2 linked regions of the Caenorhabditis elegans genome follow. The protein of the gene in region 2 purifies or fractionates together with the protein of the main gene of each other region. This does not show direct contact. Each region holds a gene or a part of one and is shown on either strand. Other genes may lie near its edges.

Evidence for each region.
Region 1: the proteins of nst-1 (region 2) and grwd-1 fractionate together in Caenorhabditis elegans (co-fractionation; one large-scale study listed by BioGRID). This does not show direct contact.

Annotation. Positions count from the first base shown.
Region 1 is NC_003281.10:5,151,199-5,155,964, forward strand, and holds grwd-1 (Glutamate-rich WD repeat-containing protein 1), read left to right. Parts: upstream 1-2,265; 5' UTR 2,266-2,347; coding exon 2,348-2,470; intron 2,471-2,516; coding exon 2,517-2,610; intron 2,611-2,658; coding exon 2,659-2,816; intron 2,817-2,955; coding exon 2,956-3,406; intron 3,407-3,582; coding exon 3,583-4,118; 3' UTR 4,119-4,238; downstream 4,239-4,766. Other genes in the region: rbm-42 (RNA-binding protein 42), read right to left, coding at 843-1,418, 1,547-1,850, 1,901-1,929; putative cytosolic Fe-S cluster assembly factor oxy-4, read right to left, coding at 4,334-4,721.
Region 2 is NC_003280.10:8,280,551-8,284,980, forward strand, and holds nst-1 (Guanine nucleotide-binding protein-like 3 homolog), read right to left. Parts: upstream 2,659-4,430; 5' UTR 2,639-2,658; coding exon 2,620-2,638; intron 2,571-2,619; coding exon 2,472-2,570; intron 2,408-2,471; coding exon 1,642-2,407; intron 1,594-1,641; coding exon 1,410-1,593; intron 1,335-1,409; coding exon 732-1,334; 3' UTR 612-731; downstream 1-611. Other genes in the region: clec-142 (C-type lectin domain-containing protein), read left to right, coding at 1-485; cct-4 (T-complex protein 1 subunit delta), read left to right, coding at 3,118-3,221, 3,268-3,940, 3,990-4,430. UniProt on the Caenorhabditis elegans protein: May play a role in regulating cellular proliferation in both germline and somatic tissues.

The sequences.
Region 1 (4,766 bases), on a different chromosome or scaffold from region 2:
CTCAAACTTTCGACATCGGCACTCTTTGTGAAGTAGTCGGTATCCGTTACGCAATTGATATACTCGTCAACACAGCCACCCACTTGTACTACATTTATACAAACAGGAATTAAATGAAGACACCTACTAACTATACTTATATAGAAAGTTCTAGCCAATGAAGGGGTCGAAAGTATTTTTCATTTTTGTAACAAAATTAGTTGAAAGTATCTAATTGACAAATCCTATACTAGATATAATGTCTACCTATCTTAACTTCCAGCCAAAATCATTTAAATTTCAGGAAGAACATTTTTGAAACACAGACACGAAAATTCTCGTTTTGTGCGCTAAATATACAGTACTCCGTCTCGACAAGAATTTTTTGTTAGTTATTGTTAAAATTTATGCTTTACTGAAGTTTTTGATTAGTAGATATATTTTTATCAAACAACTTCAAAGAATCGTTAGAAATTGAACTACAACGAAATTTTTTAATTACAGTACTCTTTAAAGGCGCACAGCATTTCGAATTTAACAAAAATGTATCGTGTCGAGACCGGATACGGTATTGTTCCCTCAAAATTTGAAGTTTTCAAAAGATTTCAGCCTTTCTTAAATATGAATTGAAAAGAAAAAACTCAAAAATGTAATGTTCTAAAATGACAGTAGAGGTATATTTTGCACTGGACATGCAACAGTGCTCCTGATACTCAAATAACGATAAATATCTCAATTCAGACTTTTATATATTGAAAAGAAAAATGAATAAAAATACGATGACAGGAAAATAAGGGGTACAATGAAAGTATTGGGGTATAAATGAATAAATTACAGAAAAAAATGTAGAAAAACGAATCGATTTACAAAATTCCAAGTTCTTTCTTTTGCTTTCTCTTTTGCTTGATAACATCAATATTACGCTCCTTCCATGCCGATTTTCTCAATTTAATCGGTCGATTTCCAACATATTTTCCGTCCATTTCACGCATAGCTCTCACATAATCCTCCGAATCTCTGAATGAAACGAATCCATATCCTTTACTCTTATTTGTTCGTGATTCTCTGACAACTTTGGCTTTTTGGAAACTTGGGTATTTTCGAAAAGCCTTTGCAAGAAGTTCATCCGACACTTCATTTCCCAGATCTCCACAGAAAACTCGAAAATCATTTTCATCCCATTCGGCAAGAGATGGATCTTCCCAAACCTGACCACCACCGGATCTCACAAACTTCTTTTTCGCTTGTTGTTCCTTGATTTTCTTCTTAAATGGATCGGTTTGCTTTTTGAAATTCATCTTATCAATATCTGATTGAAGAGCTTGAGTTCGCAGAAGTTCTTGTGGAATTGCGTTTACTGCAGGTGTTTCATATAATGCTGGAGCACCTTCAATAGTTGCAGGAGCCGGAATTCCGAGTACTCGAGGAGGGAACATTATCTGTAAATTTAATATTCAATTGAGAGTAATATTCACATAACTTCAATTTTTAACTTTTCTCTCAAAAATTTATGGCTTTATTCATAAAATAAGGATATTTTTTAAGTCAACGGAAAATCAAAACTAACCGGTGCAGCTCTTAATTGTGGAGGCATGAAAATTGAAGGTGGAACTGGAGGCATTGTTGGAAGCCTCCCAAGTGCCGGGTTGATAAATGGAGAAACTGCAATTGTGGCAGCTATCGGAATAAACGGAGGCGCTGCCAAAAGTGATGGTTGAATAACTTGAGCACTAGAAGTAGCTGCTGATGACTCGGAAGTAGTTGGTCCTGCCGAAATTGTTGCATTATCGTAGCCAACATGCGTTTGAGAGCTTGCTGGCTCCTCCGAATTGCTACTCGCTTGTTCAAGTTCGGCTAACTCGCTTTCAAATCTAAAATAATATAATTTGTTTGATAATAAATATAGGAAGAATCAACTTACAAAGCCAGTTCATCATCCAAGTTGGCCATTGTTGAAGGGTGAGCGTTTCAGGCTGAAAATAAGTCTAAATATAGTCAGAAAGTACAGAAACTTTGCGACAGATAAATCAAAAAATATTAATATTTAATATTATTATCTTTAACACATAAATGAATACAAATAAAAGGAAAATAGCTTTTGTTTCGAAAAACATTAAAAAATTGATAAAAATATTAAGAGTACGCAAACACCGCATGAAATAAGCCAGAGACGACGCACTTTTGCGTACTCTAAAATTTTTTCTGTTTTCCTATTTATTTTTTTTATCCTCCCAATTTTCACGCTTTACTAGTAGTTTTGTGCTCATAATTGTTTTAAAATTTAAGAAAACACCCTCTGAAGTTCCAAATATTACCTCATCCGCTTTTTCTAACATTTCTTAAGAGATATATTCTGTATCTGCAGAAAATGTCCGGTGAAAATGACGTTGAAATGCATGATGAGGATCCAGTGGAGGATATAGACGAGTCTGAAGAGGAAGTTGATGAAACTGATGATGAAGACGAGGAAGTACCGGAGAATCAGAGACAAGTGAGCTAGAAATTTCGTACAATACTTCTAATTGTTAAAATTGCAGGCTTACATTCCAGGCCTCAGCCGGCCATTGAAAAAAGGAGAAGAATTGGATTTTGACCCTAGTGCTTACAAACTATTTCATAGTTTCAATTCTGGTGATTCAAACGAAATTGTTTCTAAAATATTTATATTTTATGATTTAGATTGGCCATGCTTGTCGTTTGACGTTGTTAAAGATGGTTTGGGCGAGAACAGAACACAATTCCCTGCCGAATGTTATATTGTCAGTGGAACTCAAGCCGATAAGCCAAGGGATAACGAAATCATTGTGATGGGATTGAAGAATCTTACAACGATGAGGGTTAGTCGGTTTCAAACTTTTTTATTATTTACCTGTTATGAAATTGAAATTCCGGCCAACGTTTAGTTTTAAGCTCAGTAACACAATTGTTAAACTAAAAAAAACAAGGATATCTCTACAATAAAAGTGAGTATTTCAGAAAGAAAAAGAAAACAAAGGCGACGACAGTGACACCTCTGAAGACGAATCCGAAGATGAAGATGCCGAAGAAGAGAAGAAAAGAGAACCAAAAATGCACGCTGTTTCGATTCCTCACTATGGTGGTATTAACCGAATTCGTTCCGATCGTCTTGGTGACAGTACTGTATGTGCTTGCTGGAGTGATCAAGGACGTGTCCAGGTGTGGAATATCACTGATGCATTGAATTATACTCATGGAATGAGCGGAGAGTCGAAGACTGAAGTGCAAAAGATCGATCGACCCTTGTTCACGAATAATGGATCTGGAAAAGAAGGATATGGACTTGCTTGGTCTTCATTAAAAACTGGAGACTTGGCTACTGGTGATATCATCAAAAAGATTTATTTGTGGCAAATGAAGGAAGGAGGACAATGGGCTGTTGGAGCTAATCCATTAACTGGACATAAAAGTAATTTATTTAATTTTGATCTGAAAATTCCAAAAATTGAAATGTGTCTCCTGAATGGCGTTTGAGTGGTTTTTTCTTGAATAGATTGGAAAAAAACAAAAATCTGAATTAAAAACTTGTCTTTGTCGCATAAAAATTTTTGAGCATTTTTCAGTACATATTCCAATATTTTTCAGAGAGTGTCGAAGATCTTGCATGGTCACCAACTGAAACTGGACTTCTTGCTTCATGTTCCGCGGATGGAAGTATCAAACTATGGGATACACGTTCTGCTCCAAAAGATGCCTGCGTCTGTACAGTGCAAAAAGCTCATGAATCCGATGTTAATGTTATTTCGTGGAATCGTCACGAAAACCTCATTGTTTCTGGTGGTGATGACGGAGAGCTGAAAATTTGGTCTTTGAAAACAATCCAATTCGGTCAACCAGTGGCACTCTTCAAGTATCACAATTCACCAATCACTTCAGTCGACTGGCATCCACATGAAACAACGACATTTATGGCTTCCGGTGAAGACGATCAGACAACAATTTGGGATATTGCAACTGAAGCAGATGGACAAACGAATATCGAAGGAGTTCCACCACAGCTGATGTTCGTCCATATGGGTCAGAATGAGGTCAAAGAAGTTCACTGGCATCAACAGATTCCTGGATTGGCTATCAACACTTCAATTGATGGATTTAATGTCTTCAAGACTATTAATATTTAAGATGTCTCCCTGTTATTGCTCCCTGTTTGTTTTTGTTGCTGTTTTTCTCATCTATTCAACATTGTTACTGTTCATTTTTTTTCGTAACTTTTCTGTTAACCAAAAAATGCTTTAAAAATGTCGCGTTTTCGTTGAAAAACAAAAAAAAACATTTTATTCTATAGAATCTAAAAAATTAGGGACTGGGAATGTATCACAAAATATAACAAGAAAATTCACCATTTCAAGACTTGAGCAACATTCGTCTCAACGGGCCTATAGTCCGTAAACAGAAGATTACGGTAGTTTTTATCAAGTTTCTCCCATTCCTCTCGAACTTTTATCCAGGTTTCTTCATCATCTTGTCTGGGTAAATCTTCATATAATGCCTCGACTTTAATCAATTTCTCTTCTCTCTCATCCATTGTCTCGTACCGAATCTGACCTCCACCATTTGCACATCCACCCGGACAAGCCATAATTTCCACGTAATCTGTCTTCTCCTTTTTCGTCTTCATTTTTCGAACCAGATTCTGCACATTTCGAAACCCGTAAACCTTGGCAACTCTTAAAAGAATTTCTCCAGCTTCGGATTCTACAGTCGTGGAGAACATGTTCTTGTTTCTGAAAAAATGAAATATTACATTATTTAAAGTTATTTATTCCTAC
Region 2 (4,430 bases):
AGACAATTTCGAAATCAAGCTCTATGGATTTTTTCACGACAGTCTCGGGTTTGGAAAAAGAAATGAATGAAGCCAAATTAGAACTTCTGAACATAAATTTCGATGAGATTCGATTTTTTTCTGACAATGGAAATTTCTATGAAGTGAAGATGAACCCTCTGGAAGAAGTTGTGATGACGACGTGCAATTATCGGAAAATCAAATATATCGATTCGAGTGAAACAATTCCATTTCTCGATACTTGCTACCGGAAACGACGTATTTTGTGCCAAAAAAGAGCTGAGAATGCCGTTGATAAGACTATTTTGAATGAACCGAAGGAAAAAAGTGTATGGAAAGAGAAAATCATAGAAATTATTCAAACTACTCCGGAGACTAAGAAAATTGAGAAAAAAGTAGAGAAAAAGAAAGAAAGGAAAATTAAGGAAGAAGTGAAAGAGGTTCAAAAAGAAAAAAATCAGATAACCGATTTTGGCGAGTTTTAAACTCTTTTGGCAATTAATTGTTTTTAATTTCAGAAGAATTTAAGTGGACAATCATCACACTGACAAGCCTCGCAGCAGCTGCCTTCAGTGCCATAATTGTACTAAATATAGTCCGTTGCGGTTTATAAATAGTTTCGAAACAACGTTTTTTTTTCATTGTCAAAACATGAAAAATCAACAATTCGGATAAACAGAACGATAAAGGAAAAAAAATAACAGAAAATCAAGTGATATAACAATGAGATATTACATTTCCATAGCATCTCCTCCGAGCATGTTTCCAAGTGAATCCGACAGTTTATCAGCTCTGTTAGCAGTCTTTTTCGACTTTTTCTTCTGCTTCTTGATAGCTGTCTTGATGAGTTTATTGAGCTGAACGTTTCCTTCAAGAGCCAGACTTTCTGGAAGAACTGGCTTATCGTCATCCTTGGTTGGCCCTTTCACTTTTCTTCCGCTGGTTACTGTTTGCTTCTTTTCGTTAACGTCTGTTTCCATTTCATCGTCGTCATCTTCTTCTTCGTCGGAATTGTGTGGTGCAATAATGTCACTTTCCATTGGAAGGCCTTCAACGATCTGGTTTTGCTCCTCAGCAATCGCGTCAATATCAAATTCTTTGCTGAATTGTGAGACAACTTCAGCAGGAACAACAATATCTTCCTTTGCAGTTCCCTGCTCTGGTGGATGAGTGTAATATCTGAGCTTTCCTGTATTCCAGTCGTTCAATACACGTTTGGCAGCAGCATTCACATCTGGACGAGCTCCACGACGAAGTTTTCCGATACGACGTGCAAGTTGAGCCAAGAATTGGTCAACTGAGTTAAAGTCGGCAAGATTGTAATGAAGCATAATCTGAAAAGAGACCAGTTTGAATAATTCAAAAAATTTAATCAAGGCTTTTGACGATTATTATTGTTTTAAACTTACAGTTTCCTTGCTGCAACGACGAAGGATTGCGTGAACTGGAGCAATTGGATCAAGCAAATTGTCGACGCGAATAGCATTTTTAAGAGCAACCTCAATTGGATCCAAATCCTTTTGACTGACGAGAATGACTCCCGGGGAATCAATAAGACGGATATTTTTGTCCAACTCAACTTCTTGAATTTCTCTGAAAATAAATTTGATAAGCTTAGAAAAACAACTGAATTTAACTTACTTGGTGATTCCTGGCAGATTTCCTACGTTGCATGCCTTTCTTCTCTTCAAACTGTTGATCACACTGCTTTTACCGACATTTGGGAAGCCAACAACTCCGACGCGAATGCTAGTTTTAATGTCTTTGTTTCTACAGTAATTAGCAAGAATTTTCATCACAATGTCGGCACCGACGCATTTCGAGGTCTCAGTGTTGTTCAAAATAGCGCTGTTGAAACGGCCAATATTCGACTTTTGCTCTTGTGTTGAAGCCTTGAAAGCAATTGTCGGGAATTGACCGCGAAGATACTCGAGCCACTTCTGAACGTTCTCACGGGGCACCAAATCGATTTTGTTAAGAAGAAGAACCAATCGCTTTCCACCTTTTAAGACCTGATCCTCTACAGACTTGCTACGACTGCCGAGCGGATCTCTGGCGTCAAGTACTTGGATAATAACATCAGCAATCTCGACAGTCTTCCTAACTTCACTGGCATAAGCCTTGATTGTTTTGTCATCCAAGGTGTTGAACTTCTCATGTTCTGCAGCACTGGCAACTTTCTTATCAAATTCGGTTCCTTGTTTCGATGCTTTTGCGACCATACTTTCAAAATTGGCTGGCAAATTATTTTTTCTCTTTTCGATGCGATGAATTTTTGCAGCTTCTTTAGCAGCTTCCTGACGAACTTTTATCTTCTCGCGCTCCTGCTCTGCTTGGACCAGAATTTCTTCTTTGAAAGGACATGAATTCGGAACACTGATAGTCTTTTCTTTTTTATTAGTGGTTCCTGTAATAAAAAATTTTCCCATTATTTCAATAGCCTTATTTGCATTCTTTAAAACTTTACTTACCATTCTTTTTAGCCTCCTTCTTCACTTTTCTGTTATGGTCGCGAACTTTCTTCTCAATTTTGTAGCGCTTGGCGCAGCTGACTCGCTTACTGGTTTTTTCTGTAAAAGAGGTATTTTATAATATTGTTACAAATGTATATCAACTTACTCAGACAGTATTTCGCCATTCTCTGCTGACTGTTGGTTTCTTAAAAAGACAAATTGATTTTTCGACAAGAAAGAGGAAGAGAAACAAGAAATCGTAATATATTTTATATAATTAAATGTTTATATTATTTATTTAAAACGTTTTTCGAAAGCAAAACATAACATGTGAAAGAAAATCGACAAGCAAGGCCAGAAAATAAAAAGAATGCGAGTATAAATTAAAGGGAGGCACGTTGGTGAACTCAAGTGGGTCTCGCCACGAAACCAGTATTTCCACAGATCTTTCTGGCTCCCGCTTGAAAACTGAACGTTAAATTTAAAAGCTATAGAATTTCTAGAAGAATTATTATTTGTTTCTATATTTTCATCAAAATTAATGTAATAAAAGTTCGAAAATAACATTAGAATTAAGTTTTAAAATATTATTCCCTCTATCCGTAAAGTTGTTTTATTCATTTCTTCTGAGAGTCTGACTTCAACATCATAATTTAATTTGCAGATGCCACCAGCAGTTCCAGCCGCAGCTGCAACAGCCCGACAATCGGCTTCCGGTCGCGAGCGCAATTTCAAGGATAAGGACAAGCCAGAGAGTGTTCGCAATAGGTGAGCTTTGTTCCTTTTTGTTTTTAAATCACTAGTTCATTTTCAGTAACATCGTTGCTGCAAAAGCTGTTGCTGATGCCGTCCGTACATCCTTGGGTCCAAGAGGAATGGACAAAATGATTCAGTCCGGGAATGGGGATGTTACCATCACCAATGACGGGGCTACCATCTTGAACCAAATGAGTGTCATTCATCCAACTGCTAAGATGCTCGTCGAACTTTCAAAAGCTCAAGATATCGAAGCTGGAGATGGAACAACTACTGTCGTTGTTATGGCTGGAGCTCTTCTTGATGCTGCTCAGAACCTGCTTTCTAAAGGTATTCATCCAACTACCATTTCTGAATCTTTCCAAAGTGCTGCTGCCGAAGCTGAAAAGATTCTTGACGAAATGAGTTCACCAGTCGATTTGTCAAATGACGCTCTGCTCAACAAGATGGCTACAACATCGTTGAACTCGAAGGTTGTTTCTCAACACTCATGGTTGCTCGCACCTATGGCAGTTAATGCTGTCAAGAAGATCATCAATTCAGAGAACGATTCCAATGTCAACCTGAAAATGATCAAGATCATCAAGAAAATGGGAGACACGGTTGAAGAATCCGAACTCATCGAAGGAGCTCTCATTGATCAGAAAACCATGGGACGTGGTGCTCCAACAAGAATTGAGAAAGCCAAGATTGGACTCATTCAATTCCAGATTAGCCCCCCAAAAACTGACGTGAGTTGATTGAAGAAATTAATTTTTTAAATTCGCATTCAAATTTCAGATGGAAAATCAAGTTATTATCACTGATTATGCTCAAATGGATCGTGCTTTGAAGGAAGAACGTCAATACTTGCTAGAAATTTGCAAGCAGATTAAAGCTGCTGGTTGTAATGTTCTTCTGATTCAAAAGAGTATTCTTAGAGATGCTGTCAACGAACTCGCCTTGCATTTCCTCGCCAAAATGAAGATCATGTGCATCAAAGATATTGAAAGAGAGGATATCGAGTTTTATTCAAGAATTCTCGGTTGCCGACCAGTTGCCTCTGTCGATCATTTTAATGCTGATGCACTCGGATATGCTGATCTTGTGGAAGAGATTCCAACTGGAGGAGATGGAAAGGTCATCAAGGTGACTGGTGTTCAAAATCCAGGACATGCTGTCTCTATTCTTCTTCGTGGATCAAACAAGTTGGTGCTTGAGGAGGCTGACAGATCTATCCAC